Diceros bicornis minor: one gene and its partners. The protein of the gene in region 3 interacts with the protein of the main gene of each other region in a pairwise test. Links are inferred from orthologs where the notes say so. Each region holds a gene or a part of one and is shown on either strand. Other genes may lie near its edges.

Evidence for each region.
Region 1: the proteins of FATE1 (region 3) and MARCHF2 interact in binary tests that used the Homo sapiens proteins (3 or more experiments, as listed by UniProt). The two-hybrid records come from large-scale screens. The link is inferred for Diceros bicornis minor from reciprocal best matches to the Homo sapiens genes FATE1 and MARCHF2.
Region 2: the proteins of FATE1 (region 3) and TRAF3IP3 interact in binary tests that used the Homo sapiens proteins (3 or more experiments, as listed by UniProt). The two-hybrid records come from large-scale screens. The link is inferred for Diceros bicornis minor from reciprocal best matches to the Homo sapiens genes FATE1 and TRAF3IP3.
Region 4: the proteins of FATE1 (region 3) and EMD interact in binary tests that used the Homo sapiens proteins (3 or more experiments, as listed by UniProt). The two-hybrid records come from large-scale screens. The link is inferred for Diceros bicornis minor from reciprocal best matches to the Homo sapiens genes FATE1 and EMD.

The regions. Positions count from the first base shown.
Region 1 is NW_026691615.1:299,651-307,541, forward strand, and holds the start of MARCHF2 (E3 ubiquitin-protein ligase MARCHF2), read right to left. Parts: upstream 3,015-7,891; 5' UTR 2,939-3,014; intron 1-2,938. UniProt on the Homo sapiens protein: E3 ubiquitin-protein ligase that may mediate ubiquitination of TFRC and CD86, and promote their subsequent endocytosis and sorting to lysosomes via multivesicular bodies.
Region 2 is NC_080743.1:75,798,897-75,806,442, forward strand, and holds the start of TRAF3IP3 (TRAF3-interacting JNK-activating modulator), read left to right. Parts: upstream 1-4,545; 5' UTR 4,546-4,627; intron 4,628-7,546. UniProt on the Homo sapiens protein: Adapter protein that plays essential roles in both innate and adaptive immunity. Plays a crucial role in the regulation of thymocyte development.
Region 3 is NC_080781.1:136,029,635-136,036,811, reverse strand, and holds the start of FATE1 (fetal and adult testis-expressed transcript protein), read right to left. Parts: upstream 3,012-7,177; coding exon 2,906-3,011; intron 1,870-2,905; coding exon 1,742-1,869; intron 1-1,741. UniProt on the Homo sapiens protein: Involved in the regulation of endoplasmic reticulum (ER)-mitochondria coupling. Negatively regulates the ER-mitochondria distance and Ca(2+) transfer from ER to mitochondria possibly implicating it in the regulation of apoptosis.
Region 4 is NC_080781.1:138,282,720-138,289,500, forward strand, and holds EMD (emerin), read right to left. Parts: upstream 2,921-6,781; 5' UTR 2,755-2,920; coding exon 2,673-2,754; intron 2,549-2,672; coding exon 2,441-2,548; intron 2,278-2,440; coding exon 2,200-2,277; intron 1,984-2,199; coding exon 1,850-1,983; intron 1,394-1,849; coding exon 1,347-1,393; intron 1,267-1,346; coding exon 948-1,266; 3' UTR 519-947; downstream 1-518. UniProt on the Homo sapiens protein: Stabilizes and promotes the formation of a nuclear actin cortical network. Stimulates actin polymerization in vitro by binding and stabilizing the pointed end of growing filaments. Inhibits beta-catenin activity by preventing its accumulation in the nucleus.

The DNA of each region.
Region 1 (7,891 bases), on a different chromosome or scaffold from region 3:
ATCTGCTTTTACCAACCTCTGCCAGTCAAAATCTGAGACTCAACTAGAGAGAGGGGAGAAAAAAGCAGCTTAAATTATTGACTAACTTTTTGCACCAGGAAAGTCTGACGACGGATCAAAGCCCTCTGAACAGCTCCACCAGAAGCCCTCCTGACCCAAAATGCCCTTCTGGGCTTCCACAGTTGGGCCGTTGCAGGCCAGATAAGCAAGTCCAGTCGGCACTCCGTATCCGAGGGTTCCACCTCCGTGGAGTCAACCAACCACAGATCGAAAGGCCTACGATGGTTGCATCTGTATTGAACACGGACAGGCTTTTTTCCCTTGTCATTATTCCCTAAACAATACGGTATAACACCTATTTACACAGCATGTCCATTGTATTAGATATTATAAGTAACCTAGAGATGATTTAAAGTATACAGGAGGATGTGTGTAGGGTATATGCAAATACCAAGCCATTTTATATAAGTGACTTGAGCATCCGCAGATTTTGGTATCTGCTAGGGTGGGGGGTGGGGTGGGGTGGGTTCCTGGAACCAATGGCTCTCAGATACCGAGGGATGACCGTATCAGCCCAGAGTCAGGGGCCCAGGAGGAAGGCTGCGTGACCGAGATAACATGCGCAGGGCAGCGGCCGGGCCTGCCCTGTTGTATACGCCGCTGACCCTCCTGCGTGCCTGCAACCAGAACTTCCAGCTCACAAGTCAGAGAAGCCACTGGGCTATTCAAGGGAATACATGCAGACAGGAATCTATTCCTCCTGCCCCTCAAAGGATTGGTCTTAACATTTCTGCAAGAGACCAGGCATTATAAGAACCATCACAGCTCCTGTATATTAAGTTCTGCAATTCCTTTTACTCTCAGGGGAAAATTAAAACCCCACTGGTAAATCTGCTAGTGCAAGGCCTACAAATGGCCAAAATAATCACAGCGGCCACTGTTTATTAAGGACCTACTGTGTGCCGGGTGCCAAGCTTGCTAGAGTCTAAATAGCTCTTGTGAGTGTCCTCTTCAAAGGTCACCTCCCCGGAAAGGCCTTCCCTGAGACCCTGGACAAAGAGCCACGGGTGTCTACGTTACTGCCCTCACGGAATGGGTGCCTCTCCAAAATGCCCTCATTTGTCGTCTACTTGTGTAACCGCGTCTGTCTTCCACGCTTCGGTAAGCTCCGCGAAGGAGGGACCAGGCTGGCCTCGCTCTCCGCCACGGCCAGCGCCTGGCCCTGTGTCTGGCACAGAGTGGCTGCATTAGTTGTTGCTGCATTAACTTCTCGGCCCCCACTCTGTGTAGCAGCAGTGAGAGAACCAGGTCTCTTGACCCCCAGACCCTGGTCTGCCAGTGCCCGTGGTGGGAATCAGAGATGTTTAGAGGCTAGAGGTCCGTGCAAACCACAGAGGCCTGGGCTTGGAAGAGGCCAAACTCCAGACTGGACACAAGGATATGGTGGCTGCAGGCTACAGTCAGCTCTGGAGCTGCTGGGATGGGAGAGCAGGTAAACTTGGCCCAGTGCCCGGGAGATGGAGTTCACTGAATCTTCACAACAAACCTATGACATAAGTCCAATAAATACCCCCATTTGACAGGTAAGGAGACTGAGGCTCAGAGAGGGGCAGCTACTTGCCCAAGGTCACACAGCTAAGACGAGACAGCGCCAGCATTTGAACTTAGTCCAAAGAGTGGCTCTGGGACTCAAGACACCTGGGTTCTTTTAAGTCCTGACTCTATCACTGATGCTGTGTGTCCTGGGACAAGTCACTTTGCTTCTCTGGGCCTCATCCTTCTCCTCTGTCAAATACATTGACGGAGTTGGTGGACTTTGTCTGCCGAGGGGCTTGCTAAGAAGGAGCCCCCAGACTCGATTCCTGCAGCGAAATTCGCCCTCAGCTAGGCCTGTCTGGGGTGGTGCTGGGGCATCACACACTTTCCACACCTGCCCAGTCTCCTCTTTCTGAGGGCAGGAAACTGAAGGGAGAGTCAGAGGACCCTAACTCCCCACAGTGTGATACCAGGCTAGCTGCTTCACTCGCTGCACCTCGATTTTCTCATCTGTAAACTAGGGGCCGTAACGACACCCAGCTCAAAAATCCGTAAATATTAAGAAATCAATAAATATTAGCTCTTGTTATAATTACCGCCATCAGCTTACAGAGCTGTCGGGAGGGTCTGATGAGACAAGGCACAGTCAGCGCCTGGCATACAGTAAGTGCTCAATAAATGCTCACCATGATTATTTTTTAGGGTAAACGTGGAGCCTGTGGAATGCATTCCTACCTCTTCACTCACCACAGAGAGGTCCCTGTGTGTCCTTCAGTGGAGGCCAGGTGCTAATGCCAGCTCTGCCCTCATTTGCTGTGTGGCCCTAGGCAAAAGACTTGACCTCTCTGAGCCTCGATTTCCCCATCTGTATAACAGAGAAGGTTCCTAGCACTTCCACCTAGTCTGGTCCCTAGAGGACTAAATGAGCTAATCATATAAATTCTGGCTACCCTGTTTGGGGCACCCGGTAACAGCCAGGCACTCTGCTAAGCAAGTCCTTTGTACACAGTGCCTGGCTTATGATAAGAGTTACTCTTTTCCAGGCTGAGCCCCTCTGAGAAGAAGGCTGGGGAAGGACGATGAGCACTTATTGGCCGCCTACTGTGTGCAGGGCGCCTTCCTCATCCCCCACCTCCGGAATCCTCCCGACAGCCTCGCGAGGTCGGCGCTGGGATGACCCGGTTTCCCAGATGGGGAAACCGAGACTCCCAGAGACACCTACTGTGTGCCAGGCCCCCGGGACCTCTCGCCGCCCTCGAGACGGGAACCGCGAGCCCCTCGTCCCGGGGAAGGCGGAGGCCGAGGGTCCAGCCCGGCCGTCCCGCCCGGGGCCAGGCTCGGGCCTCGAACCCGGGGCCGGCCCGCAGACCGGCGCCCCCCGGCCCCGCCCGCTCGCGCCTACCTGATCCGCGGCCGGGCCGGGCGGCCGCGCAGACCCCTCCGCTCACCCCGGCCCGAGTCCCGGCCCGGCCGGTCCGGTCAGCGCCGCTAGCTCCGCTCCGGCCGGCACCTGCGTCCGGACACCACCCGCCGAGCCGACGGGGCCGCGGGCCAATGGCGACCGCCTCTCGCCCGCACTGGCCAATCGCCGTGCACGTCCCGCCCTGGGAGGCGGGGCCTGAGCGACGGGGACGTCCTGGGCCGCACAGGCCCCGCGGCGCCGCAGCTGCTGGCTCCGCCCCTGCCGCGTCCTGGCCCCGCCCCCAGCCCTGACCCCGCCCCATCCCGGCACGGGGCACGAGCGGGCCTAGTAGCGCCACCTGCCGACGACCAGCGCTTGTTGATAAATAAGAGCGTTGTGGAATTCAACGTGAGGCCCGGCAAAGGGATTTATCTGTCAGTGTTCATCACCTCCCTTACGCTTTTCCTCAGTCCTGGGGGAGGGAGGAACCGTATGATCACGTTTTACAGAGGGGAAACAGAAGCGTAGAGAGGTTAGGGGGCCGTGGAAGAGCCTAAAGCCAACATCATTATTCATCATTCATTTATTCATTCGTGCGTGCAATAGATTCATTCATTAGATGTCACAAACACCAATAAGAGGGCCTGTTTTGAGCCAGGCACTGTGCGAGGAGATGGCGACACAATGTTGAGTGAGACAAATGTTGCTGCCCTCATGGACCTCAATCTAGGGAGGGAGACAGACATTAAACAACCAATTATGTAATTAATTATTAATTACAAAGGTGATAAATTGTAGCAAGTGAGGGGGACATATCATGGAATAATATGGAAAGTGAAAAAAATATTTCCTCAAAGAAGAAGCAATTGAACTGACAGTTGAAGTGTGAGTGGAAGTTATCTGGGAGAAAAGAGGGGAAAAGAGTCCTAAGCAGAGAGTTCAGCATGTGCAAAGGGCACGAGGGGGGCTTGAGAATTGTCTCATTATTCCTTTCTTCCCCTGGCCCTGCCTGTATTGAATATATAGATCAGCTCAATTCCCTCAGTTAAATTCTGTTGTGTTGTACTGGCTTATATTTTTCGAAAAAGGAAAGATAAATCATAACTTTTTTAAAACATTACCTCTAGAGGGAAGAAGTAGGATGCAGGGGACGGGGATAGAAGCTAGACCTTTAAAAATATATCTTGTTTTATATATTTGACTTTACAACCTCGTAAATCTTCTGTATAATTATAAAAAACTTTTAAATGTAAAGATATCCCTAAAAACAAAAATAAAATAAAACGAATGAACCTGTGTATCCAGTTGGTGACAAACAACACAGAGATGAAATTCTAGTGACTTTAAAACACAACAGTTTGACTGTACATACCACTACTATAATGGTGGTTGTGGTCTTAAATTGGTGTTCTGATCTTCTTGCATATTTAGTATGGGATAAAGCAAAGGAGTAATTATGTTGGTGTCAAGAACTGAGATTTTCAGAGGGAGTGAAAGAGATGTAAGGTTGATTATGTTAAATTAAAACCCTGAGGTCTTGAATTTGAATTGGGAATACCATGATATATTTTATCTTTATAAAAAGCAAACATTTCCTAGGTCTGTTCATCAAAAAAGTTCCCACCAAAATAAAGACCAACCTCATAGCAATAAGCACTCCTTAAGCCCAGATTATGGTCTCTAAATACCATTTCCAATAGAAAGAACCAGGGAACCTTGAGGAAACAGCTGATTCTGGGTCTGGGGCAGAAAACATACAGATGAACCCGGCACGTCTTTTTTTTTTCTTTTATGGTGAAGAAGATTGGCCCTGAGCTAACTAACGTCTGTTGCCAATCTCCCTCTTTTTGCTGAAGAAGATTAGCCCTGTGCTAACATCTGTGCCCATCTTCCTCTATTTTGTATGTGGGATGCCGCCACAGCATGGCTTGATGAGTGATGCATAGGCCTACACCTGGGATCCGAACCTGTGAACCCTGGGCTGCTGAAGCGGAGTGCAATAACTTAACCGCTATGCCACCAGGCCGGCCCTTGGCACGTCTTGATACACCAGAAATTACTGGAGTTTTCAAAAACATTACCTAGTGAGGTAGTCTCAATGGAACCAACTGGAAGAAACTCCCACTGGCCACGAAGGAGACAATTTGGCCTTTAATAACGATACTGATTGCAGTAGAAAAACATGTCAAATGGTTAAATCCATGCACTTGGGTTCTTAAAAATTCTTATTTTAAAATAATATCAAATTTACATAAAATTTACAGGAGAAAGACACAGAGCTCCCATTAACCCTTTGCCTAGATCCCCTAATTGTTAACGTTTCTGAATCCTTGAATATAAGGTAGACACGTGGTGTCTCATTAAGCTTTAATACTTTAGTGTGTATTTCCTAAGGATAAGCACAGTCTTCCACATAATAGCAGTACAACCTTCAAAATCAGGAAATTCCTATTGATCCAATATTACCGTGTAATTCCCAAATCCCATTCAAAGTTTCCAATAAAGTCCTTTAAAGCTCCAGCATCCATCCTGGATCACACGGTGGATCACATGGTGTGTTTTGCTGGCTAGTTCAGCCTCCTCCAGTCTGGAACAGTTTCTCTGTCTTTCCTTGTCTTTCCTGACTTTGATACTTTTGATACTTCAAAAGATACTTTTTTTTTTTAAAGATTTTATTTATTTATTTATTTTTCCCCCAAAGCCCCAGTAGATAGTTGTATGTCATAGTTGCACATCCTTCTAGTTGCTGTATGTGGGACATACAGCATGGCCGGAGAAGCGGTGCGTCAGTGCGCGCCCGGGATCCGAACCCCGGCCGCCAGCAGCGGAGCTCACACACCCAACCCCTAAGCCACGGGGCCGGCCCTCAAAAGATACTTTTGAAGATGCTAGTTATTTTGTAGAAAGTCTCTCCATTTGTGTTTGTCTAATGTTTCCACATGATTTGAGAAAGGACCCACAGAAGTGATACTGTGTTCTCAGTGTATATAACAGGTGGCATAGGATGTTGATTTCTTTCACTACCGATTATGCTAACCTAGTTAAAATGGTGCCTGCCAGGTTTCTCCCGTGTGAGTTAGTACGCTGCACTTGTCAATAAGTGCTTTATGGGAAAATACTTTGAAACTAATTAAATAACCTGTTCCTCAAAAAATCTTCACTCACCAGATTTAATATCTGTCAATGACACTGGCCTGAACCAATTTTGTTGCTGTTGTTGGTTTAAACAAAGAGGGTTTTATTTTTATTTGCAAGAATTCTGGAGGAGGATAGCTGCATTGGCTTGCTCAAATGAAGATAGGCTCAAAGATTCTGAGATTATCTTGATGTTTTTCTCACAGTAGCAAGATGGCTGCTGTGGCTCCAGGCATCACATCCTCAATCAAAGCAAGAAGAAGGGAGGGGCAGGGCAATGTTAGCCAAGACTGTCTCTTTGATCAGATAGTGATTACCACATGATGATTGTTCTCATTCCATCTTTGAGCACTTCCTTACTTACTGGCTCAACAAGATGTTCCAGGGTGGATTTTCTTTTTTTTTTTTTTCAAATAGTCCTTTTTTTTTTTAACAATTTTTTATTTATTTACTTTTTCCCCCAAAGCCCCAGTAGATAGTTGGATGTCATAGTTGCACATCCTTCTAGTTGCTGTATGTGGGACGTGGCCTCAGCATGGCTGGAGAAGTGGTGCGTCGGTGAGCGCCAGGATCCGAACCCGGCTCGCCAGCAGCGGAGCGCGTGCACTTAACCGCTAAGCCACGGGGCCGGCCCCAGGGTGGATTTTCTTCAATTTGTACCTGCCCCAGCTCTAGAATCAACATTTCTCCAAGGAGGCCTGATTTCTTTTAGTGAGGAATGATATTGAGAAACTAAGATCTGGGTCCCAGGCATGCTCATTGCTACCACAGTATCATTAATTCTTGCTTCTCTCATTGTAATACATATGTATATATGTACCTATATAGAGACATTTATCTATCTGTCTGTCTGTCTATCCATCTGTCTTTAAAACCATGAGTGGCTTATTTTTATTTTATTAAAAATTTAAAAAATAGGGGCCAGCCCGGTGGTGCAAGCAGTTAAGTGCGCGCACTCTGCTGCGGCGGCCCGGGATTCACTGGTTCGGATCCTGGGCGCGCACCGATGCACTGCTTGGCAAGCCATGCTGTGATGGTGTCCCATATAAAATGGAGGAAGATGGGCATGGATGTTAGCCCAGGGCCAGTCTTCTTCAGCAAAAAAAAGAGGAGGATTGGCAGATGTTAGCTCAGGGCCAATCTTCCTCACAAAAAAATAATTAATTAATTAAAAAAATAACAATAAAAGAAAAAGAAAATTGACAAGCAAAGGAAAGAATTAAGTATTTATGCTGACCTATACAATCTGTACCTCGGGGTAACCACATAGACGAGGGGAAATTTCTCTTTATAGAAGTATTCCAGAAATAAATGTAAAGGGAATTTCTTTTTCTTTCTTTCTTTCTTTTTTTTTTTTGGTGAGGAAGATCAGCCCTGAGGTAACATCTGATGCCAATCCTCCTCTTTTTGCCGAGGAAGATTGGCCCCGGGCTAACATCCGTGCCCATCTTTTTATACAGGTCACTGCCACAGCATGGCTTGACAAGCGACGCATCTGTTCACGCCCGGGATCCGAAGCTGCAAACCCCGGGCCACTGAAGCAGAGTGCGTGAACTTAACAACTACGCCCCTGGGCCAGCTCCAAAAAGGGAGAGAATTTGAATATCACCATTTTGTAACTCCTAATGGATTACGAATCTGAGTGATGCTCAGGAGCATCTGTAAACACCACAAGTCAGAAACACGCTGACGGGATCTGCCTCCTAGGGTATTTGCATGGCGCCATCTATGAAGTCTCAATCCTAAATCTGATCATCCTCTGGGTCTAAGTAGTAATTTACAGGAAACGCAGGGGAAAAAAGGACACATTTTAAATAT
Region 2 (7,546 bases), on a different chromosome or scaffold from region 3:
TTGCATACCGAGGGGATAAGCCATTATGATATCTGACTCAGAAGTAAGCCTTATTTTATACTCTGGCAGGCCCAAGGGGACACAAACTGAAATGAAGGTGAAACGAGAAGACTTAAGTTGCTCTGAGGATTAACACATGGTTTTTCCTTTTGGTCCAAATGGAGATGAATACCTGGGAAGCCCTCCCTCCTTTTTCTGGTCTACCTTACTCTTTCCTGTTCTGTCTGTTCTATAACACACACACACACACACACACACACACACACACACACACCACTCCACCCCCTCCCTCAGGCCTGAAGTTTCATCCCATCAGGGCCCTTCAAGGTCAAAGCTGGTAAGACCACCCTTCTCAGCAGCCTAAGATGCAAAGTAACTTGTCTTTCTCAATGCTGGGACCCGCAAGAACAGATGTGCAGTTAGTTGTGCCTTAGGGTTAGGCCTTTCAGATTCTTAGCATCTGTACAACAGACAAATCTGCTAATATTGATAATCTGTTACAGCATAATTTTGAGGTTTTATTATAGTAAAAAGTCCTCTATCAACAATGATGACACAAAGCAACAAAGAGAAGAAAAGAACTGAGAACTCTGTCCTGCCACAAGTGTGAAGTCATAACTCCATTGTAGAGAGGCAACCTTGCAAATGTAGGAGTTAAGGAAATAGTTATCTTCTTCCTGATGAGTTTAGACTGTATCACCTCTGAGAAGGAATATTTGTCCTTGGGATGTTTGTGTGGACATCTGATTAAACAGTTGCCAGGTAGACACTTGAAAGACTAAAGAGGAGAGTCTACAGAGCCAGCCCTGATGGCCTAGTGGTTAAAGTTCAGCACGCTCTGCTTTGGCAGCCTGGGTTCAGTTCCTGGGTGCAGAACCGCACCACTTGTCTATCAGTAGCCATGCTGTGGTGGCAGCTCACAGAGAAGAACTAGAAGGACTTACAACTAAAATATACAACTATGTACTGGGGCTTTGGGGAGAAGGAAAAAAAAAAGAGGAAGATTCGCAACAGATGTTAGCTCAGGGTGACTCTTTCCCAGGAAAAAAAAAAAGAGACGAGTCTGCAAGTCACTGGTTGGGGAGAAGTTGAACAAGAACAGACTTAAATGTGCCTATCCTGAGCCACTCTGCAGGACTTGGAGTTCCAAGTTCCCCTCACCAACCCCTCCTGCCACCTTCTGCAAAACTTGGGGTGACAAGGCCACCCCAGGCTATCCTGTTAACAGTGTCTGCGGCATTGTTCTAGAATGAATAACTTAGACTTGAAGAATGCATTGCTGAGAAAATGTTGGAGGGAGTGTAGTGGGGGATTCTAAGGCAAAAACAATTCTTATGGGCAAGGTTGCCATTTCCCGAAAGATGAATAGGGGAGTCATCCAGTAGGGTGGGAGGGGGAACAAGATTAGAACTAATAGCTCCCATGTGGGGACCTCCATAAAGAGTTTGACTTCTTGGTGTTATTTCTTAGAGTATGGGATAAGTCATAGTAGCACACAGTTTAAATGTTTTCCTTTCACAATTGGAATTCCCTTCAGTTACCCCAACCCTAAAATAAAATCTGATGATCCCATACATACTTGTTTGATGCTGTGAAGAGCAAAGCAACAGAGCTGTAAGGCAAAGTGATGCTTATCCTATATTTACTCCTCATGGGAGCCCACAGAGGACCCGAATCTATTAAGGAGACCATGTCCTGATGTTCCAGGATATGACCATCAATAAAGAGAGCCAAGGTCCCAGTGGACCTGGAAATGGTAAGAAGTACAGAGTGCTGGCCAGTAAATGCCACGTGACCAGCTCAAGAGGTGCCTGATCTAAATCCTCCTCTGTACTAGCCTATGCTAGAGGAAGGGGACCATCAGGGAGAGGCAGGCTGATGATTAGACTATATCTCTACTTGAGACTGATTTGGTAAATAAAGTTTTCTTAAATTCATTTTATCCAGATTTTCAAAATATTACCTTAGTTACACAAATGACTGTAAAAGTATTTTCATGTCCACTGTATGATAGTTACTTCCATGTACCATTCATAAATGTTTACAGATGTGCTTTCTCTCTTTTAAAGTGATTTGGCTAGCTGGTAGTTTATTTCATTGATTTTGTTTTCTATTGGTATTTCTACCTTTCCCCACATACAGACACAAGAACTAGCTCCTGGTATTCAATAGATAATTGAATTTATTTATCAATTCTGCTCTGAATTCTAACTTATTATATTGCTTTCTCTTTTTACCTTCTTTTTATTCTCACTTTCTTTCCTTGATTTTCCTGACTACTTTTTAGAAATTTGTTTGAAAATAAATAGCTAATTTATTTTTAATATTCCTTGTTTAAGTAATGAAAATATTTAAGACTATGAATTTCCCTTGGGTCATGCCTTGGCCATACCTCACAGATTTTGTTCTTAATGTTCTCGTTAGCATTGTTTTCAAGGCATTCTTTTTTGTGTGTGTGTGAGGAAGATTAGCCCTGAGCTAACATCCGTTGCCAATCCTCCTCTTTTTGCTAAGGAAGATTGGCTCTGAGCTAACATCTGTGCCCACCTTCCTCTACTTTATATGGGACACTGCCACAGCATGGCTTGACAAGCGGTGCGTTGGTCTGTGCCTGGGATCCTAACCTGTGAACCCCGGGGCTGCTGAAGCGGAACGTGCGAACTTAACCGCTACACCACGGGGCTGGCCCCTCAAGGCATGCTTAATTCCAGATTTGGTTTCCTCTATATTTCAAGAGTAAACCAGGAGAATTTTTTTTCCAAGAGGTTGAAGTGTTTATTTCTTCCCAGTTTTGTTATTTATTTCTAATTTTATTGTACTATGGTTGGGGAATTCTGCTGTAACAGATTAACTTGTTTTTTTAAGGTACTGGGGTTTGCTTTATGATCAATACAGTCAATTTTTTTGACGCTTCATGGGCATTTGAAAATAAGGTATATTCTCTAGTTTTAGTTTTCTCTGTGTGTGTATGTGTCTCTTTCTCTCCATATAGATAGATAAGTATGACAACCTTATTAATTGTATTGTTCTCACAACATAGTGTTAACAGCTCAGGCTCTGATGTCAAGCAAACTTGGGTCCAACACTTGCTGTGTTACCTTGAGCAGACTGTTAACCTCTCCAAACCCCAGTTAAAGTGGGTGTGGTATCCCATTGAGTGCATAGCCCTAAAAGGCATTTTGATCTTTGCACACACTTCTTTTTGACTTTTAATGGATTCCAAATAGTTGGTCCATAGTACCTCCTGTTATAACCTCCTGTCCTCTCCTATGCTCTGGTGCCCTAAACTCCCAGGACCCTCTCACTAGTCTTCTAAGCCAATAAAATTCTCTTATTCACCACCTTGGGCTCCCTAACCCCTCTGTCTTCTACTCATTCCCATCACCATATACCAAGCTCCAGACACAGGACCTTAGGCTCTTGTCTCTCTTCCTGAGGGAACGTCATTTGCCTTCAGTTCTAGTGCTTGAGAATCCATCCTCTGTGCTTTTCCCTGCCTACTCCTTGCCCTTTTTCTCCTCAGAGAATGGGGGAAGTAGCAGGCAATGAAGAAGATTGTGACATACTCCCACGTGTTAATGACTGTTATCCTATCACAGCTATTTAAAAATCTCATTGCACGCCTCACACATGTCAAGCCTTAGAATTCATAGGAGCCATATAAATCATCCAGCTACCATAATGAGTGGACCATGCAGACAAGGTGAATTGCACAAGGTTATAAAACTACTCAGTTAACTTACCCCAATCCAATTCTCTCTGCACTATCTTGTTCTGAACTTCTTGGGAATTTCCTGACAATATCATTTGTAGTGGTTTCTTTTTAATGCACAAAGATCAGTTCCTTCTAGTTTTTCCCCAAATTTCCTAGTCCAATTGACTAGGAAACTTTTTTTATAAGATTCTGCCTGCTGCTGCTCCCTTCATTCCCCAGTCACCCACCCACCACCTTTTCACCTCCTCCTCATTGCTCCAGAAAGGAGCAAATTCAGAACTGGCCTCATTCCAGAATTCTGAAAAAGACACCAGGTACTTTAGAAGAGTAGAAACTTTTTACAATACCAGGATTGGGAAGAGGCAACAAAAGGAAAATCCTTACACAGAGAACTACCTGACACACAAGAAAAGCTACACAGGGAACATCTCTTCAAGGTCAAAAATGCATTTTTTCCCCTCATAGAAACTGCAAGGTTTGAATCTGATCCAGAGGCCCATCCTTGTCCGCTCCTGGAAAGGAATCTTGACTGGAAACTGTCCGCGAGCTAAGACCAACCCAATAGCAAGAAGAAGGGTGGCTGGGGTGCCCAATGATGGGAGGAGCTCCTGAGCCCAGCGCTGGAGGCCTCAAGGGTTCAGGGGCCCCCTCAGACCGTGCCAGAGAGCAAGAGAGAGGAACTGGGGTGAGCAAGCACTGTGGCTTTGTCTGTTTCCGGTTTCAGCAAGGCTGCTGTGCGAAAAAAAAAAAAGACAGTACCAAGAAGGGAAATGCTAAGGGGGCCCAGAGCCATGGATTGAGAGCTTGTACTTTACACAGCTGCTGTCTTGCCCCATCTGAAACCAGAGCCAAGATCTGCCCAGGAGCTGGAATGCTTTCCTGAGCTGCTTGGGTTGGAGCCTGGGACCCAAGGTAACTGAGGAGGATGCTTTTGCATCCAGGTTTGGGAGCTCTAATTCTGGGGTGGGGCAGAAGACTCTGTCATCCAAGCTTCCCCAGGCTGAAGAGGGAGACACAGGGGTGAATGGCGTAGTTTAAGAGTGCTGGGGGTTGGGTAACCAAAGAAGCCTCCTGTGTTGGTTTCCAGGGGCACTAGCCACGGCGCAAGGGTACAGCTTCCATCACTCTACGTTCCATCTATTGGATTAGATTACAGGTGAGTCAAATGACTTAGAGTTCAGGCTACCCAGCGAGAGGGGCATAAATTCAATGATCTCTCATAGTTCCCCTCAAAGCAGGGACCCCCATAACATGAAGCTGCCTTTCCAGGTCCCTCTCTCCTCAGCTCACACTGAGAGCTCTGGACTAGGAAGCCCAGACCCATGTAGGAAGCCATTCATTGCAAACACAGCCAGGAAGTAGGAACAGAGACTTGGAAAGGCAGCAACAAACCACTGTCAGGTGAAGGGCAGTGCTCTGATCTCTCCCTGCGGCAGTGAGGAGAGCTTCCCCCAGCCAGTACTACCTCTTCCCGGAGCTCCAACTGGGCTCTGTCACGACGCCAAGAGGCACCCCACAGATGCCAGAAAGCCTGGGCAGTGGCCCAGTGACCTTTCTTTGAACTACACAGGGGCCAGTTCCTTTTTCTTCTATGGCCCATCCCCATCAGTCAGCCGTCCCACATGGCTTCTTGTGTTTAAGCAAATCAGAACAGTCAAGACATCCCGGAAGGCTGGGTGTGATTCCGCTCGGCTGTGCCACAACAAATCCCACCAGGTGTGAGGGTCTAGGGGTCTGAGAAGGCTCCCTTTTCTAAGGAGCCATTTCTACTCCAATTCCCCACTTGGGTAATAAGTCCCAATATCTGCCTCTCAGGAAGCAAAGCAGGACAGCCATATGTCTCAGTGGACTAGTATAGACAGCCTGGTCGAGAGCCCACGGAGAACTTATCTCAGGCTCCATCTCCTCCCCCACAACCCTTTCTTCTTCACGGCAGGAAGGCAGGAAGATTCTCCATAATCAGAGGATCTGCCTCCTCTACAAAGCCTGCAGATTACCTGGAGCCAAACAGAGAGGGGACTTAGCGTCCCACATTTTAATGGTGGCATGTAGGCAGGCTGGACACCAATTCTTCACTCCCATCTCTTCTTCGCCTTTCTCCTGGGACTAATGAAGATAGTGGTTTTGTCCAGACCACAGAGAAGTCTTTTCTCCATGTAGCCCAAACCCAGAGGTCAGATGAACCACAGCAGTAAATATGATTTCAACCCGGGGCCAGCATCCCCTCCGTACAGTAAACAGTACCCCTTCAAAGAGAAAGGAGGTGGGCGAGTTAGAGGATGAGGCATTCTTGGTCCTAGAAGTGCAAGGTTAGCTTGGGACCTTTGTCTTATAGCACTGAGTCTTCAATATCCAAGATCAGCAGGACAGGGATAATAATAATCATAGCTTATGTTTATTATTATTATTATAGAAAGCTAACACTTATTGTGTGCTATGTGCCAGATGCTATGTGTGCTATGTGCCAGACGCTTGACGTGCATTTTCTCTTTAATCCTCATAACCTTATGAGGTAGGTTCCCATTTTATAAATGAGGAGACAGAGGCTTAGAGATGTTTAATAGCTTGTTTAAAAGCACATAGGTAGTAGATGACAGAGCCAGGACATGTATCCACATAGTCTGAGTCAAGAGCCAGGGCTCCCCCTCCTTCCCCATCTACGGCAGAAGAGCCAGGAGCTACGGCTTGGATGCCGCAAGGGTAGATTCTGGACATTGAGTTCGCCAGCACTTAATCCTGAGTCTCCTCCATCCAGTCATTTATAACTTAATATGGATGGGCCTCTCAGATCCTTTTCTAAGGTTTTAAAGAAAGAAAGTGGCAGCATTGTGATAAGTGAGATAAGTCAGACAGATAAAGATGAATACTTCTCAGACAGGTAATGTGGACATGTCCTCAGCAGAGCTAGAAGTCATCAGAGTCCTAACTAAGGTGCTGAGGTATCTGTAAGGCCAGAGATCCCAGGAGTCTGCTGTGATTTTTAGGTACAAAGATATATGTACAATTGGCAATAATTGCCAAATTATTTCCAGAAAAGATACACCAAAATGAAACCTCAACTTCAACAATTTTGAGTATCTAACTCACTCTAACCTAACCAGCATAGAATATGATAATTTTAATTATCTTTGCCAATTTTGGAGAAAGTAATTAATGCCTTTGCTGTTGTAATTTGAATTTGATTGATTTTATGTTAGCTTGAACTTTAAAATAATCTTGTTGATGATTTTCGTTGCCTCTTTTGTTAAATGTCAATTCAAAGTGTTCTTAATGATTTGCTTATGCCTTATATGGCTGATATTACTTTTTGTATATTTAATAACTGCTTCTCAATTTGTAAAAAAAAAAAAAAAAGAAAGTGACAGGTGGGAAGATAGGGGACCCCTACAGAGTCAGAGTGAGGAGAAAAGCCTAAAGAAAGGGGAGAGCCACCCAGGGATGGGATGAGAGGACAAGCATTGACAACCTCACAGTTCTGCTTGGGTCAGCACTGCCCAAAACCAGAGTCTGCCCCTCCAAGCCTCGAGAGTCAGTTGAGCGTGTGCAGGGCTTGACCATGTAAGACCCCTCTCAGGGAGTGAGACTGCCCCACCCATGAGCCTGGGGAATCGGTGGTATGATCAGAGAGAGAGCAAGAACCCTGCAGAGAACTCCAGACTGAGCCAGGATGGACAGTGAAGTTCCAGTGAAGGGGCAGAGAGGCTGCTACCTGTTGAGTCTGTTGGCCTATAAATAAACCCAAGGGGCTAGAGCTGGCAAATGCCTGCTGGTTGGTGAAGCTGAGATACCCTTCTCTGACCTACCCAGGAACTAAGGTTTCCAGGGTGGTGG
Region 3 (7,177 bases):
AGTTGCATTAAATGGACAGTGGGTGTCAAGAAGACCCCAAGACTATAAAGGGGGAGTCGATCAAGAGTCTCTCCTAGAACAATTTCCACACCATCCCCTTGATTTAGGTAGATTGAGATCTGAAGGACAAAAAGTTTTTTGAGAGGTTTGAAGGCAAAATAAAGAAGAGTGACTGGCAGCTGGAGTTTGTTTGTGATAACATAGTTTGTTTTTAGCACATCAATATGATAAGAATTAATTTAACAACATCTGCAAGTCAATGATAACTTACTGTGGTCACACATCATAAGACAGGTTTAACTGTTCAAAAACAGTTGTCTTGTTACTTTTTTGTTTTTAATTTTAGAAACCCTCTATTTATAATTATATACATTGTAGAACAGAAGACTTTTATGCAAATTTGATGGAGATTAGGAAAATCTATGAACTGCAGCAAATTCCAGCTTCTCTCAGTTAATTACTTCAAAAGTGTTATTTTCATTTTCATGTACTTTTTAAGGCACACTACTTTTTTTTACTCAAATCAGCATAATAATATTATTATTTTTTTTGTTCTTTCATGTTGTGGTTCTCTCAGAGGCAATAACAGTTCCATGAATTTTTTTACTCAAAAATAAATAATGAATAAATAAATAGAATTGATAATTTTCTTAATTCTAAATTTCTAAATTTAATTTCTAAATTTAATATAACGACTCTATTTTTTAAAAGTGTACTCCTCTGGTCTTAATAGGTAACTTTAATTAATCCAGAGATTATACCACCACCACCGCCTGCCACCTCAGTCTCAGGAGCATGGGTGGCTTGCTGGAGCCTGACTTGCTAAAGCAACTTGATTTGGCTTCAGTCTTTGGACACAGGAAGCTGATTCAATATTTCTGGTTCATTTTAATTCCCAGGAGGTCTCTGACCTGGGAGCTCTTTTTCTCTTTGGGGGTGGAATCATTTCAGCATTTACAGTAACCTATTCCCTAGAACATTCAGGTCTCCCTCCTCCCCAACCATGTTGCCTTCCCCAGTAACCTCTGCAACAGTGTAATAACCATGTTTCTAAAACTTTCCCTCACCCACAGTGAATGTAGTTTAAAGGATTGGCTACAGAATAACAGGACTCAGGTGAATCCCTAGAACAGTCAGGTATCCCTCCTCTCCAAAATGGCTGCCTTTTCCCAGGATCCTTTGCAACAGTATAGCTGCCATTTTTTTTAGAACATTCCCTAACTCACATTGAATGCAGCTTACAGGATTGGCTACAAAAAGGCCAGGTTCAATTGATTGGATTTCCTAACAGCCAGGGAGCACAGGAACCTCACTCGCCTTACCCTTGTCCCAACCCTGAGATATATATATATACACTTATATATATTTATATTTATATATATGTAGAAATATATATAAAATATAGATATATATGTAGAGAAATATATATATTTTTAATAGAAAGTGTCATTTCACACACACTAGAGTTTTACAGAGTAAAGTACATATATGTACTCCCCAAGCAATACGTGCTTCAGGCATTCTGGACTCCCAAGGTTGAACTCCCAGCCTGTCAAATGATGGCCCTGACTTCTCGCTGGACCTCCCTGCCCTCGTTTACCTACCTGGTATACAGAAGCTTCCTCCGCCCCCCAAGTTAACATCTGGCCCTGCTCAACCTACCATCGTCAGAGTGGAGCCCCTACAGCCAGTACTCCCAACACCAACCCAGTCACCATGTGCCAAGGGCCCCATACAGTACCCCTTTCTTGGGCTGGGTGGCAGTCATATTCCAAACCAATTGGCCTGTAGCAGAGCCAGCAGCCTTTGGACCCAACTTCTGTTGCCGCTGAGAGGTACCCAGGGACCGGGACCCACACTCCATTATTTCTAGGAAAAATAACAGAAGCCCCCAGAACACCCATAGAGGCTGTACCAAGGCTTCCTTGGCACAGCACATACCAGAAAGGATAGGGTCCCCAAACTTCTTAGGAATCATTCAACACTCATTCACTGCTGTCCACTGGTCAACCCCAGGCCTCAGTTTGTTCATCTGTTTAAAAGTTTAGCAAGTATTTGCTGAGGGCAAAACTCCGAGCTAGGTTACTGGAGAAAGAGCAATGACTAAGAGACAGCATTGCAGAAATCAAGGAACTGATTGTGTGTGTGTATAGGAGGAGTGAGGGGGCAAAACAGAAACTAATCCATCAGTGTAGATTCAGATCAAGAGATATATGCTTCTAAAATGATAAAAATAGGGCAAGATGACGGAAGGAAGGGGCTACGTCTAGAAAAGTTGGAAACAACATTGAGGCAGAGATGTGAAAGAGAAACAGAGCCCATCCATGGAAAATCTAGGGAAAGAGCATCCAGGCAGAAGGAACAGCAAGCACAAAGGCTGTGAGGAAGAACCAGTGTTGGGGTGTCACAAGGACAAACATAACTGCAGTATGGAGTGGGGCACCATGCCACAGCATGAAATATGTTGAGTGACCTTGATAGGATCCTGTAGATCGTGGTAAGGAGTTTGGATTTCACTCTAAATGGCAGAAGGCACCGGAGAGTTAGGAGAGAGAATTGATCCGATTGATCTTATAAATTAAGCCCTCCTAATGTTCTGCAATAGACATAGTGGTGGCTTAGACGACGGGGAGACCAAGGGACCACACACGTTGGTCCCATCCTACTCCCTCAGGGGTGCAAAATGCTCACATCATCAATCCCTTTCCCCCTAGCTCCCCTGTCATTCAAGGCACAAATACATGCATATGCACACCAAGGCACAGACATGCACACATACCCACACATACATGCAAATACGTACATGCATATATATGAGCGTCTGCCCGGCCACACATGCACATTCTCCAACACACACGCACAGGTGTAGACACCCAAGGGAAGGAACATTTCAGAGGAACCTCACCTGCTATCACCAGGTGCTCTTGGCCTTGCCCACGGCTTCCAGGAGCCAGTTCTTCGGCCATAGACATTTCCATCTCCTCCTTGATGCTAGGGGGGCCTCCTGCCATCACAACCAGTTGTTCACTTATAAGCTATGGCCAAGGATGCACAGGGAGAAGGGCACAGAGGAGGCACTTGGAAAATCAGCTCTTTGAGGGGTAGGAGATCAAGGAAGATATATCTGGACATGGGGGTGGAGCCAGACTCCCTCTTTGGGCTCAGGCCTTGGACCCAGCACCTTCTGTTCCTGCTGTATCTTGTTGGCTGGTTTCGAGGCCTTCTCCCTGCTACTCTGTAAGCAACTTAGGAGAAGAGATAAGGTTCAGAAACTTTGCCTGTGAGAACTACCCTGGCTTTCAGGTCACCTGATTTTGCCCCATTGTGGAGCAAGTGGGGTCCAGCCTCCATCATTTCTAGAGAGATGCAGGGACTGGTGCAGGACCCCAGAGTCAGTCAGTGGTCAAAGCAGGGTTAGATCTGAAGCCTGTCATGGCTTCTGCAAGCCGAGCCCTAGCTACCAATCCCAGCCATAGCGCCCTTCAGAAGGCATCCTCTGCAGAGCCTGCCTCCCCAAATCCAGAGTTCCCAGGAAGGGGAGATGGGCTTTTGATGCCTTTGGTAAGCCTGAGCAGGAACCATGAGAACCAAAGGAGAGAGGGGTAGGAAAGAAAAGACCTGCATGCAGCCACTGGAGCCCCCAGCGTCCCCAGGCCCTACACCCCCTGGTCTAAGTCCAAATTCCTCCTCAGCTTCCCTACTGATTAGGCCACTGTGAGGGTCAGGTTTATGTGTTCACTTGGCCAGCCTACAGACCCCAGTTATTCCATCAAACACTAATCTAGGTATTGCTGTGAAGGTATTTTGTAGCTGTGGTTAACACCTACAATCAGTTGACTTTAAGTAAAGGCCATTATTAACTCTTGACAATGTGCATGGGCCTCATCTAATCAGTTGGAAGGCCCTCAGAGCAAAGACTGAGGTTTGCCAAAGAAGAAGAAATTCTGGTCAAGACTGCAGCATCAACTCTTGCCTAAGATTCCAGCCTGCTGGCCTGCACTGAAAATTTTGGCCTTGCTAACCCCACAATGGCATGAGCCAATTCCTTAAAATAAATCTCTATATACATACACATATGTACATGTACATGCATATGCATATACATACATACATACATATGCATATACATACATACATACATCCTATTGGTTCTGTTTCTCTGGAGATCCCTCACTGATAGAACCACCAAAGGTGACCCCTCAGCTCTTGGGAACAGCCCGAGAGCCCCTGGGGGTAGAGGAGGCTATTTCTAAAAGGAACCAAGCACAGCTGGGACAAGATAGGGGGAGGAGGAGGAAGAGGGGAGGGAAAGAGGAAGAAAGGAAGGAAAGAGTGATGGAGAGGAAAGGGAGGGGCCAGGACTTGCTTAGAGAGGGTGGTATGGTCTGGGCTGCCTGTCTCCCACCTTGGCCCCACCTGTCCAGCACTTGGACCAAGCTCTTCAGAGCAGAGCTGACATAGGCCCGGCCTGCATTCCTGAGGGCCCCAAAGAAGCCCTTCCCAGCTCCAGTGCAACAGCTGCTGCGATGAAACCCGAGCTTTCCGGAGCGCCACCTTAGGAGCAGAGAAGTGTGCTCTGTGGCAGTTAGGAGCCTGGGAAGCAGGAGCCATTGCTTTCTGCCAGGCTAGTGTTGCCAGATTGAGCAAATAAAAACACAGGACACCAATTGAATTTGAATTTCAAGTAAACAGCAAATAATATTTTAGTGTAAGTGTGCTCTGTGCAACATTTGGGACATACTTACACTAAAAAATTATTCATGGTTTATCTGACATTCACATTTAACTGGGTGTCCTGTATTTTATCTGGCAACCCTGTGCCCTGTCCATCCTTGCCATGATCTCAAGATTTGACCTTGAGCAAGTCTTTCCTTCCTTTGGGCCTCAGTCTCCCCATTGGACGATGGAGTTAACAATCCCCTCCCTAAATCGTGGCTGAATTGTGAGAGCACTCAAGGTAGTAGAGCTGGCAAGACCTTCCATTATTGATCTCAGATCAGATTCTCCACTGACTGCCAACTGTCCTTGACTAGTTGGGGCTTCCTGGGCACTGGGACACTGGGCCCAGGTACACGCAGAGGCACTGCCCTCTACTGGCAAAGGAACCCACCACCTAAAGTCAAGCAAAGAGGGTGACTTCCTTCCCAATCCCTATGCCCCCAATGCTAGCCAGAAACTCGGGCATTTCACCACCTTAGCATGCCTGTTTCTCTTGGATTGGGCACCAAGGATGGCTGGGTGGTGGGAGAGAGAATTTGCTGTGTGACTTTGAACTTGTCCCTTAGCATGTCTCTCTAGCATGCTAACCTTTTCCCTCCAATATTATAATTTCCTTCTGAAATTGCCCCAAAGTCTCTCCTCAAACTCTTCAAAAAGGGCCCACTGTCTGGCATGCCAACTTCGGGGGCCGGAAGGGCTGGAGAACCCTGGACACAGAAAGATCTGCCAAGCATTATGGGGGCCCATGGCCAAGTGAAAGTGGTGGGCTGCAAAGACCTAGACCCAAGTGGAAGGCTCCCAGAGAAGAGGACAAGGGAGCCTGAAGTGCTTCCCACCCAGGAGGTTAGACATGCCTCTAGGAAGGGGAAGAAGGAGTCCAGAGAACATTGGGCTAAGATGTGTGTGTATATGTTTGCAGTGTGTTACACAAATGAGATCGTACATTTGAGGTACATGCTGTTCTGCAACTTACTTTTTTAGGTGAACAGTGTGCCTTGGGGATCTGCTATGTCAGAACAAATCTACCTCATGTCTTTTAAACACAGCACAGTATTTTGCTGCACAGCTGCACCCTTGTTTATGGACCTGCTCATGGATATTTTGGGTGTCTAGAGCTTTTCGCTTTTATAAACAATGTAGCAGTGAGCATTCCTGGACAGGCCTCTCTGCATACATGTGTAAATGTTTTTGTCCAGCAGGTGCCTAAAAGTGGAAATGTGGGGTTCTAGGATATGTATGTTGGCAATTTTGACCAATATTGACAGACATTGTCAATGTCCCCTCTAAAGAGGCTGTGCCAAGTGGGACTTCATCAAAGGGAAGAAAGTGCTGATCTCTTCACAGCTTTATCAATGGAAGATATTATGAAACTTTCTAAAAGGCATCATTATGCTGGGTGAAAAATGATCTCTCTCTCATTGTTGCTTTAATTTATATTGCTTTAATTACAAATAAACTTGAGCAATTTTTCACGTTTATTGATCTTCTGTATTTCTTTCCTGTGAACTGTCTGCTGGAGGGCTTGGATATTTATTAAAATAAGAGCTGTTTTATTAACAGAAAGAGATGGGGAAGACAGCTCTCCCTCCCTTCGAGATAAGCATCTCCAAAGAAAACATATCATCTTTTTCCCTAAAGTTGATTGTGAGCACACAGCCTCAACTGGGGACCAAACAAACCTAGTTAATTGCACCCAAGTTTGGGCTGAAATCTAGAGGGCCTCCAGCTTCCCACAGAGTAGGTGTCCAACTTGGGCTGTTGCCTGCCTGTCTGACTGTCTGCTGTTGTCTTGTGTCTGTCCGTCTCTCTCCCTGTCCAACTACCTGCCTCCACCAAGGCCTTCAAACCACTGGCTTCTTCCAGCTGTTCAGCCAGCTGTGGACTCGACTCAAATTCCCGACCAGCTTACGGTTTGACAGTCCTGTCTGTGACCTGCTCCCACCTCTCTTGCAAGCAGCAGTGGGAGGTGGCAGGAACCCAGGCCCAGGGTCAGTACACCTGGGAGTGACTCCTAGCCCTGACACTGGGACATCTTACGCAAGTTGCTTCCCCTGCCCTGAGCTTCAGTTTCTCATCTTCACGTGGAAGATTGAGCTAAAACCCAGTTTCAAACTGTTTCATGGTTTCAGGGAGGTACACTGGGGCTACCTGGGCTTCAGGGCAGACTCCAGCTTCTCTTCACCCAGAGCAGTTCCGCTTTTATCGCTTTCTTATATTGGGGTTCTATGGAAGAGGCCATTCAAAGCCAATGAGTGCGATGGTCTGCTGCCCCCAAGCTCTGCTCAGAGCCCAGTCTCAGGCAGCTACAGTCCCAAGCCCAAGCGAGCAAGCCTGATTTTGGCTGCAAACCCAGATCTTCCAGGCATCTGGGAGCTTCCCCTCCACTTGCTAACGAAACTTACAAACCTGTAAACAATTCTCCTTCCTGCTCCTGGAAGCAGCTGGTACTGAGGTCATC
Region 4 (6,781 bases), about 2.3 Mb from region 3:
AAAGTGGAGGAAGGTGGGCACAGATGTTAGCCCAGGGCCAGTCTTCCTCAGCAAAAAGAGAAGGATTGGCATGGATGTTAACTCAGGGCTGATCTTCCTCACACACACAAAAAAATAAATAAAACAAGCAGCTTCCTGGAAGAAACGGCGGCAGCCAAGCACATGCTTTGCTTCCTAACCATCTCCCACCCTTGGACACTGGGGTTGGCATCCGCTTGTCCCGGGTAAAAGATCCACAGCAGGCTGTGCATAGGCAGCCTTGCCTGCACTTGGGGTGGGCTCTCCACGCTCCATGGTGCCATAGTTATTCTCATGATTACCAGAGCTTTGAGTTATGAGTCAGGGAACATACCCCATCAAGCAAAGCACCAATGTGCTTTGATTCACGGGTAGGATGTGATTCCTAGGCCAAGGCCAAAAGGGGGAACCCACGAAGCCAGATGGTGATTCTGGAGACCAAAGCTCAGAGGCCCCGAGCCAGGGGAGCCCAACCCTCTCCCAGCAGAAAGAGCCCACACTTTTAAAAATAAATGGTCTTTTTATTGTGTGTCCACGAAAACAAAGTCAGGGTGGCCTTTGGTTAATCCCCCCAAAGAGGTGACAAGGAGGCATGCAATGACAACAACAACCACATTCTCCTCTCCAGGAGAAGGGTCTTACCCTCCCGGGCCCTAAGGATCAGAGGCAAGTGGGGCCAGGAGGCTCCGGAGGAAGGCCTGCCCAGGCCCACTATGCCATAGAGGGCCTGGGCGGGCTGCCTCCCTCTCAAAACAAGGCAGGACAAGGCAGGGGGAGCAAGCACTGCCCTGGGCCAGGCCCAGCACCCCCAAGCTAGAACACACAGAGAAGCACCCCCCCACAGCCCCCCAGCAAACACTGCTAATGCAGTCAGCCAGGACTCCCTCCCGAGAGCAGCTGGCCCCGAAGCCAGACCCTCAGGGCTCCATTCAGAAGGGGTTGCCATCGTCAGCCTGCATGGAGTAGTAAACAAAGAGCAGGAAGGCTGCAAAGACCAGGAACAGGAGCATCTGGCCCCAGAGCGGGACCTGGCAATCCTGGCCCAGAGCCCCAGGGGCCTGCTTTTCTGGCCGGATGGCACGGCGGGTGAGCCATGAAGGGTGGGGAGCTGAGGATGAGGACACAGGAGAGGTGGAGGAGGATGTGGGGTAATAGGACAGGCCCAGGGAGCTTCTGGAGATGCTGGAAACGGGGCGGTAGTGCGCGATGCTCTGGTAGGCACTGTCCCGGCCATACATGGGGCATTCCCTGAGGCAAAGAGGGAGCAGATGGGCCAGGAGGGCCTGGGCCCAGAATCAGCCCAGCCCCTGGCCCTCCCTACCACTCACCTATCTTTACTCTCCTCTTCAGAAGAGAAAAGACTGTCATCACGCACCTATAGAAAAGAATCAGGATGAGGAGAAAGGCTGGCAGGGTCAGTGTGGCCCTGTCACATCCCTCAGTCCAAACTTCCCCTGCTGGCCTATCCCGCCCATTGCTTAGAGGCCCAGGCCCTGCCATACTCCAGAACCCTTCTGAGTTCCTGGCCTTCATTCCCTGGGCCCTGGCCACTTGCTCAGTGACTGTCCTGGCTGCCTGCACCCTACTTTCTGCCCCAGGATTCTCAAAATAAGCTCAAAGCTAGATCCAAGACCAGGGTGCAGGGCATGTCCCGTATGCTCCAGTCAAACAGTTCTGACAGCCCGCCGAGGGCCCTGACCAGGCAGGTGTCTGCTGACCCCACCTCTCCCTGGAGGCTTGGGAGACACCATTTGCCCCCTTGACTTAGCCAAACCCAGCTCTGACCCCCTCAGGTTGTACACAACTACAGACAACCCGACAGCCGGCTCACCTGGTGGTGAAAGGTGTCAGCGTCTGAGAGTGAAGCCGAGGGCTGGCGGAAGCCCTTGGACGTGCCCACAGACTCAGGCTCCCCGTAAGTCCTGGTGCTCAAGTAACTCTCCTCATAGTAGTCATCATTATAGCCTTAGGAAGGGGGCAGCAGTAGCAGAGCGGGCAGCGGTATCCCCGCCTGGCCCGATGGCCCTAATCTGAATCCCACTTTGGGGCCTGTGACATGGTTTCTCCCCTCCAGGGCTGCTGAGGGACGGCGGGGGTTGAGGTCTCAGGTTCTCCCTGATACTGGGGTCCCTGAGGGAGTGGAATGAAGGTGTCAGGGTGCCCACCCCACGCCTGCCTTACCCTTGCTCTGGTAAAGTAAGGCGTCCTCTTTCTTGGGCAGATCGTACATGTCCGAGTCCACGGAGGCTGAATCTAAGTCTGAATGAGGGGGCCACGACCATTTGCCCTCAAGGCTCCCCTCCCTTTTTCCCGTGTCCCTCCCGGCCAGCGTTCCTGCCACACCCTCGCGACTCTGTTCTCCCCGTCGCCCAAACCCTGTCCCCACGGGCCGCCAGATGGGGCTCTGGGTCGGGGGCCTCACCCGAGAACCGGTAGGAGAAAGACGATGTGGAAGAGTTTGGAGGCGACAGCCTCCGCCTTTGGGTCTCGTACTCGAAGATTTTCTTTTCGTAGAGCTTGCGCGTGGAACCTGGCCAAACACGGGGTGCGGGGCGGTCAGGGGGGCGGGCTGGGAGCCCGGGGGCAGCGCGGGGAGGGGGTCCCGGAAGGGGACGCGAGGGCGGAGCGCGGGGAGGTGGCCTGCCACCGCGTACCCACGACAGGCCCGTGTGGAATGTTGTACTGGCGCAGCACGGCAGCCAGCTCGGCGTCCGACAAGACCGCGTAATCGTCCATGGTGCGCGGCTGAAGCCTGGGGGCGACTCGGGCCTGGAGACACAGACCAAGCTACGGCTGCCTCGGGAGCGGCTGCGCTCGCGTCACGCCTGCGTCCGCGTCACGCCTGCGTCACATTCGCGCCCTGGACGCTGGCTCTGCGAGCTGCGCGCGCTGCGTGGGGCGGAGCCAGGCCGCGGGGAGCAGCCGGAATAGACCGGTCCGATCGTGGGAGCGGGAGGGGCGGGGCTGGCGAGCCCAGACGTCTCAAACAGGCAGGATTGGCTAAAGGCGAAAGAGGGGCGGGGCGTGCGCGGGAGCCCAAGCGGCTCAGACCGGTCCGGCCGTGGGAGCGGGCGGGGAAGTGTGCCCGGGGGAAGGGGTGGGGCCGGCGAACCAGGAGACATCACTCGCTGGTGCTTCTGGGCGAGAAGTGAGGAGGGGCGGGGACCGCGCGCAAGGGGAATGGGCGTAGACCTGCCGGGACTTGAGAGCGGGGTGGGGTTGGCGAGGCAATATGTCACCCGCTGGCGTGTTCCGGCGAGAAGCGAGGAGGGGCGGGGTCTGCGCGAGGCGAACCGGCAGAAACTAGCCAGGATGTGGGAGCCGGCCAGGGCCGGCGCGTTTGGGGTGCTTGCTCTCCCTGAGTCACGTGGGCTTCACTCCGTCCCTACGGCCTCCGCCACTCCGCCCTCACCCCCGGCCCGTTCCCAGGCTCCAGCGCCTGGGGTTCCCCGGCCACGCCCCGAGAGCAGCGGGAAAGTGCCAGATCCTAAGAGCGAGTCCTTGGACAGCGCGGTCCCGGGCCAGGCGCCCCTGCGAGCGCTTTGCGCGCGTGCGCCACGCCAGGGAGGCGGCTGCCGGCGGGGCCCGGACCCTAAGCCGCCCCCCAAACCCCCTGCCGCAGGCCGGCCGGTGGCTCTGCACGGCCCTGGCCTGCGCACCTGCACCCGCGGGTCCCCACCGCCTCCCTCCGTCCCTCCACGCTCCACCGGGAGGAAATGGGGCAGTGGCCCAGGAGGCCGCCAAGCACTCCAGGAGCAAACAGCCTTGGAAGGGGCCGGACGTGCCAATAGGCACTGGCACGGGGCGCCGTGTGATGCGTGCAGAGACAGCGAGTGTCCGCCTGACCCACCATGACGTCCACCTGGGGCACTGGGGGTTTCCTCTCCTGTCAGAATGGCCCCTGAGCTTAGTGTGACCCAGGAGGCGGCCAGGCAGGGTCAGGAGGGCCCTTCCAGACCCACAGGGACCTGCTCGGGGGTTCCAACAAGCTTTCGCAGGCTCTCAGCACCTGGGTCTGGGTAGGCTTCAGGGTCCTGGTAGTCCAGAGGGGGCCCTGAGGACAGGGGGGCCAGAAGACTGAGCGGGGACCATGGAAGGCTGCCATGGCCTGCCAAGGTGGCTGGACCTTCACTAGGAGTTGGTGAGGGCCTTGGTCAGTAAAGAACTGTCCTGTGGAAATTGGAAAGGAGGTGATAACCATGTTCTAAACCAAGCCAACTGATAGAGTATGGGGCCAACTGAGGTGCCCCTCCCCAGGCAGGCCCAGAACTGGGAGCACGGGGTGATGAGGAGCTGTCCCTGGTCTCAAATGACAACAGGTGATAAGGGGAGAAGAAGAGAGGATGGCTCTGCTCAGACCCAGGCTGGCTGCCTAGCTAGTGAGGGTCACAGAGCAGTTCTCCATGGAGGTTTGCTCAGCGGGTGGAGAAGAGGTAGCCACACAGGGAGTGGTGAGGAGATGGGGTCCTGGTTTGACCCCACACAAAGACCCTCAGAAGAGTTGCTGTGGGCCAGGTTTTAGAGTAAAGGCGAGGCCTGCTCTGTCTCCCGGAATAGGAGGAGGAGGTGTGTGGGTCCCCAGACACGTGCATGGCTGTAGAGGGGGGAGAACCCTGGGCACAGCAGGGGCTTGCTGCTTATCTTTCAGAGCAAGGAGGGAGATGGCGTTTGGGCTCTGGGCTGCTCAGAAGCTGCCTCCTGGAATTTTGAGTTTTGGCAAGATCAGACTCCCCAGCACCTCTCCAAGCCTTCTGTGGTGCTGGCCCCTGTCCCGGAGGCCCAGTCCTCCCCCATGCCACCCCTCCCCATGTGGATCCAAGTTGTTTCCTTATGAGGTCAAGGAATTCTAGGTTTGCTTTCTCCCCAAGGAACACCCCCTCTCCCAGCACCTGCCTCGGCACTCTGCCTTTTATGACCCCCCCGTTGCCCTGCTATGAGGTCCCACCATGGATGGCCCCAGGAGACTGAACTGCAATGGTCCCCTGCGCCCACCCGGTTAGCACCTGGAGCCCAGGTCCAGCCCCATCGCAGTGCAGACCTGTCCCAGACCACCAGAAACCATGCGAGCCCTTGCCCATCAGTGCTGAGAGGCCTGCACCATTCCATCACACAGAGGGGGAATCAGGAGAGGGAGAAGGCTTGCCCAAGGGCCCGATTCTCCCATGGATGGCATGGGGGAGTACCTAGTCCTCGGGGCAATGACCTGGCCAGTGTGGCCAGCGCGGGTACCGTGTCATCAGAGGGCCTGTTGGGGGAATCTGTGGCCTCCAGGGGAGTCTTCCTGGGAAGGGTGGGCAGAGTTAAAAAAGAAGAGGAATTTCTCTGGAACCACAGCTGAGGTGAAAAGGGTTAGGAAGCCACAGATTCCAAGTCAAGAATAAGAAGACAGTTTCTCTTTCAAGGATGGGCAATGGCTCCTAAGCAGTACATAGTATAACTTGGAATCCCAGCAAGATTGAAAGTTATAGGGGAAAATAATACCAACATGAATACATTTGTCAGCATCCATGTCCAAGGAGCCAGTTGTTCACTGAGCTATTAATGTTTTCTTTAAGGTCAGAATCTTAATACATTAGTACAATACAAAACTTAACTTTTCTCTTCAAGGATGTTAAAGATCCTTTGAGTTTCGCTTGGTATTTGAATGCTTTGAAACATTGCTCAGATAGTAACAAAAGTCATAAGATGATGATTATTGTGAAAATTAATATGTGGAAGATTGTCACAATTACAATCAATATAAAATGGGGAGTGGTCAGTGGACCAAATGCGTCTCCAAGAATGCCTTGTGACCCACCCTAGAACACAGCAGTTCATCTTGGTACTGCTGGCACGACCAGTTGGGGATTCGGCCTGCCTTAGCAGCAGGAATGTAGCTGATTCTAGCGGTTTTCCAAAACCTTCAACACAGGAGAAAAGGTCTTTAATTGATTAGGATCTTCACCAGGGAACAGCTGGTGCTATACAAACCTTCATTCCCCTTAAACCTGGAAGAAGTAGAAACCAAGAGCTGCGCATGTTTTGTGTGTTTTGGAGTGTGTGTGCAGTGGGAGGGAGGCAGTAGTGTAAAGAGAGGATTTAAATGGAGGTGGGGGCCAAAGATCCAGCCACATGGCCACCGCCTTGTTTGTGCCCCCCACCTATTGTACCCCTGGCTCCGACTGCAATGCCTGTGGTAGGTGGGTCTCCCTCCTTGAAGAACAGCCACCTCATGGACCTGAACTCAGGCCACTCACCTATCAAGTGACCATAACCCACTGCTCACCCCAGCAGTGGGGGGGGGTTCCCACCAGAGGGAGCAGGGAGGGACATGGAGCCCCTGGCACTGCTAGGAGATCCCACTGTGAGTCAAGGTGGAAAGGTCATTGCAAGCAGAGCTAACAAAGGCAGCAGTGGCTGCAGGGAGGCCTGGAGGGCAATCAGCGCCTTCCTGTCAGTGTTCAACTGTAGATGGCCAAATGCATTTAGCAGGTGTAACCAAATTTCTTCCTGCCTCCCTCCCTTCTTTTCTTTCTCTCTTCTAATGAAGTAGAGTAGAATAGAAAATACCAAGTGCTTTTTGGGTAGTGAGAGAAAGTCTCCTTTTCTGGATCGTTTGTCTCAGTTATTTCTGTCAATCTGTGTATGTGTGCTTGCACAGCTGGGCTCAGGATGTCAAATGTAGTTCTTATTGGGGCTTGTGGGCAAAATGTTAAAGTGACACTGCTTTATGTGGCCTTCCCCAAGGAAGTGACAATTGAGCTACATCTGAAGCTACCAGGAA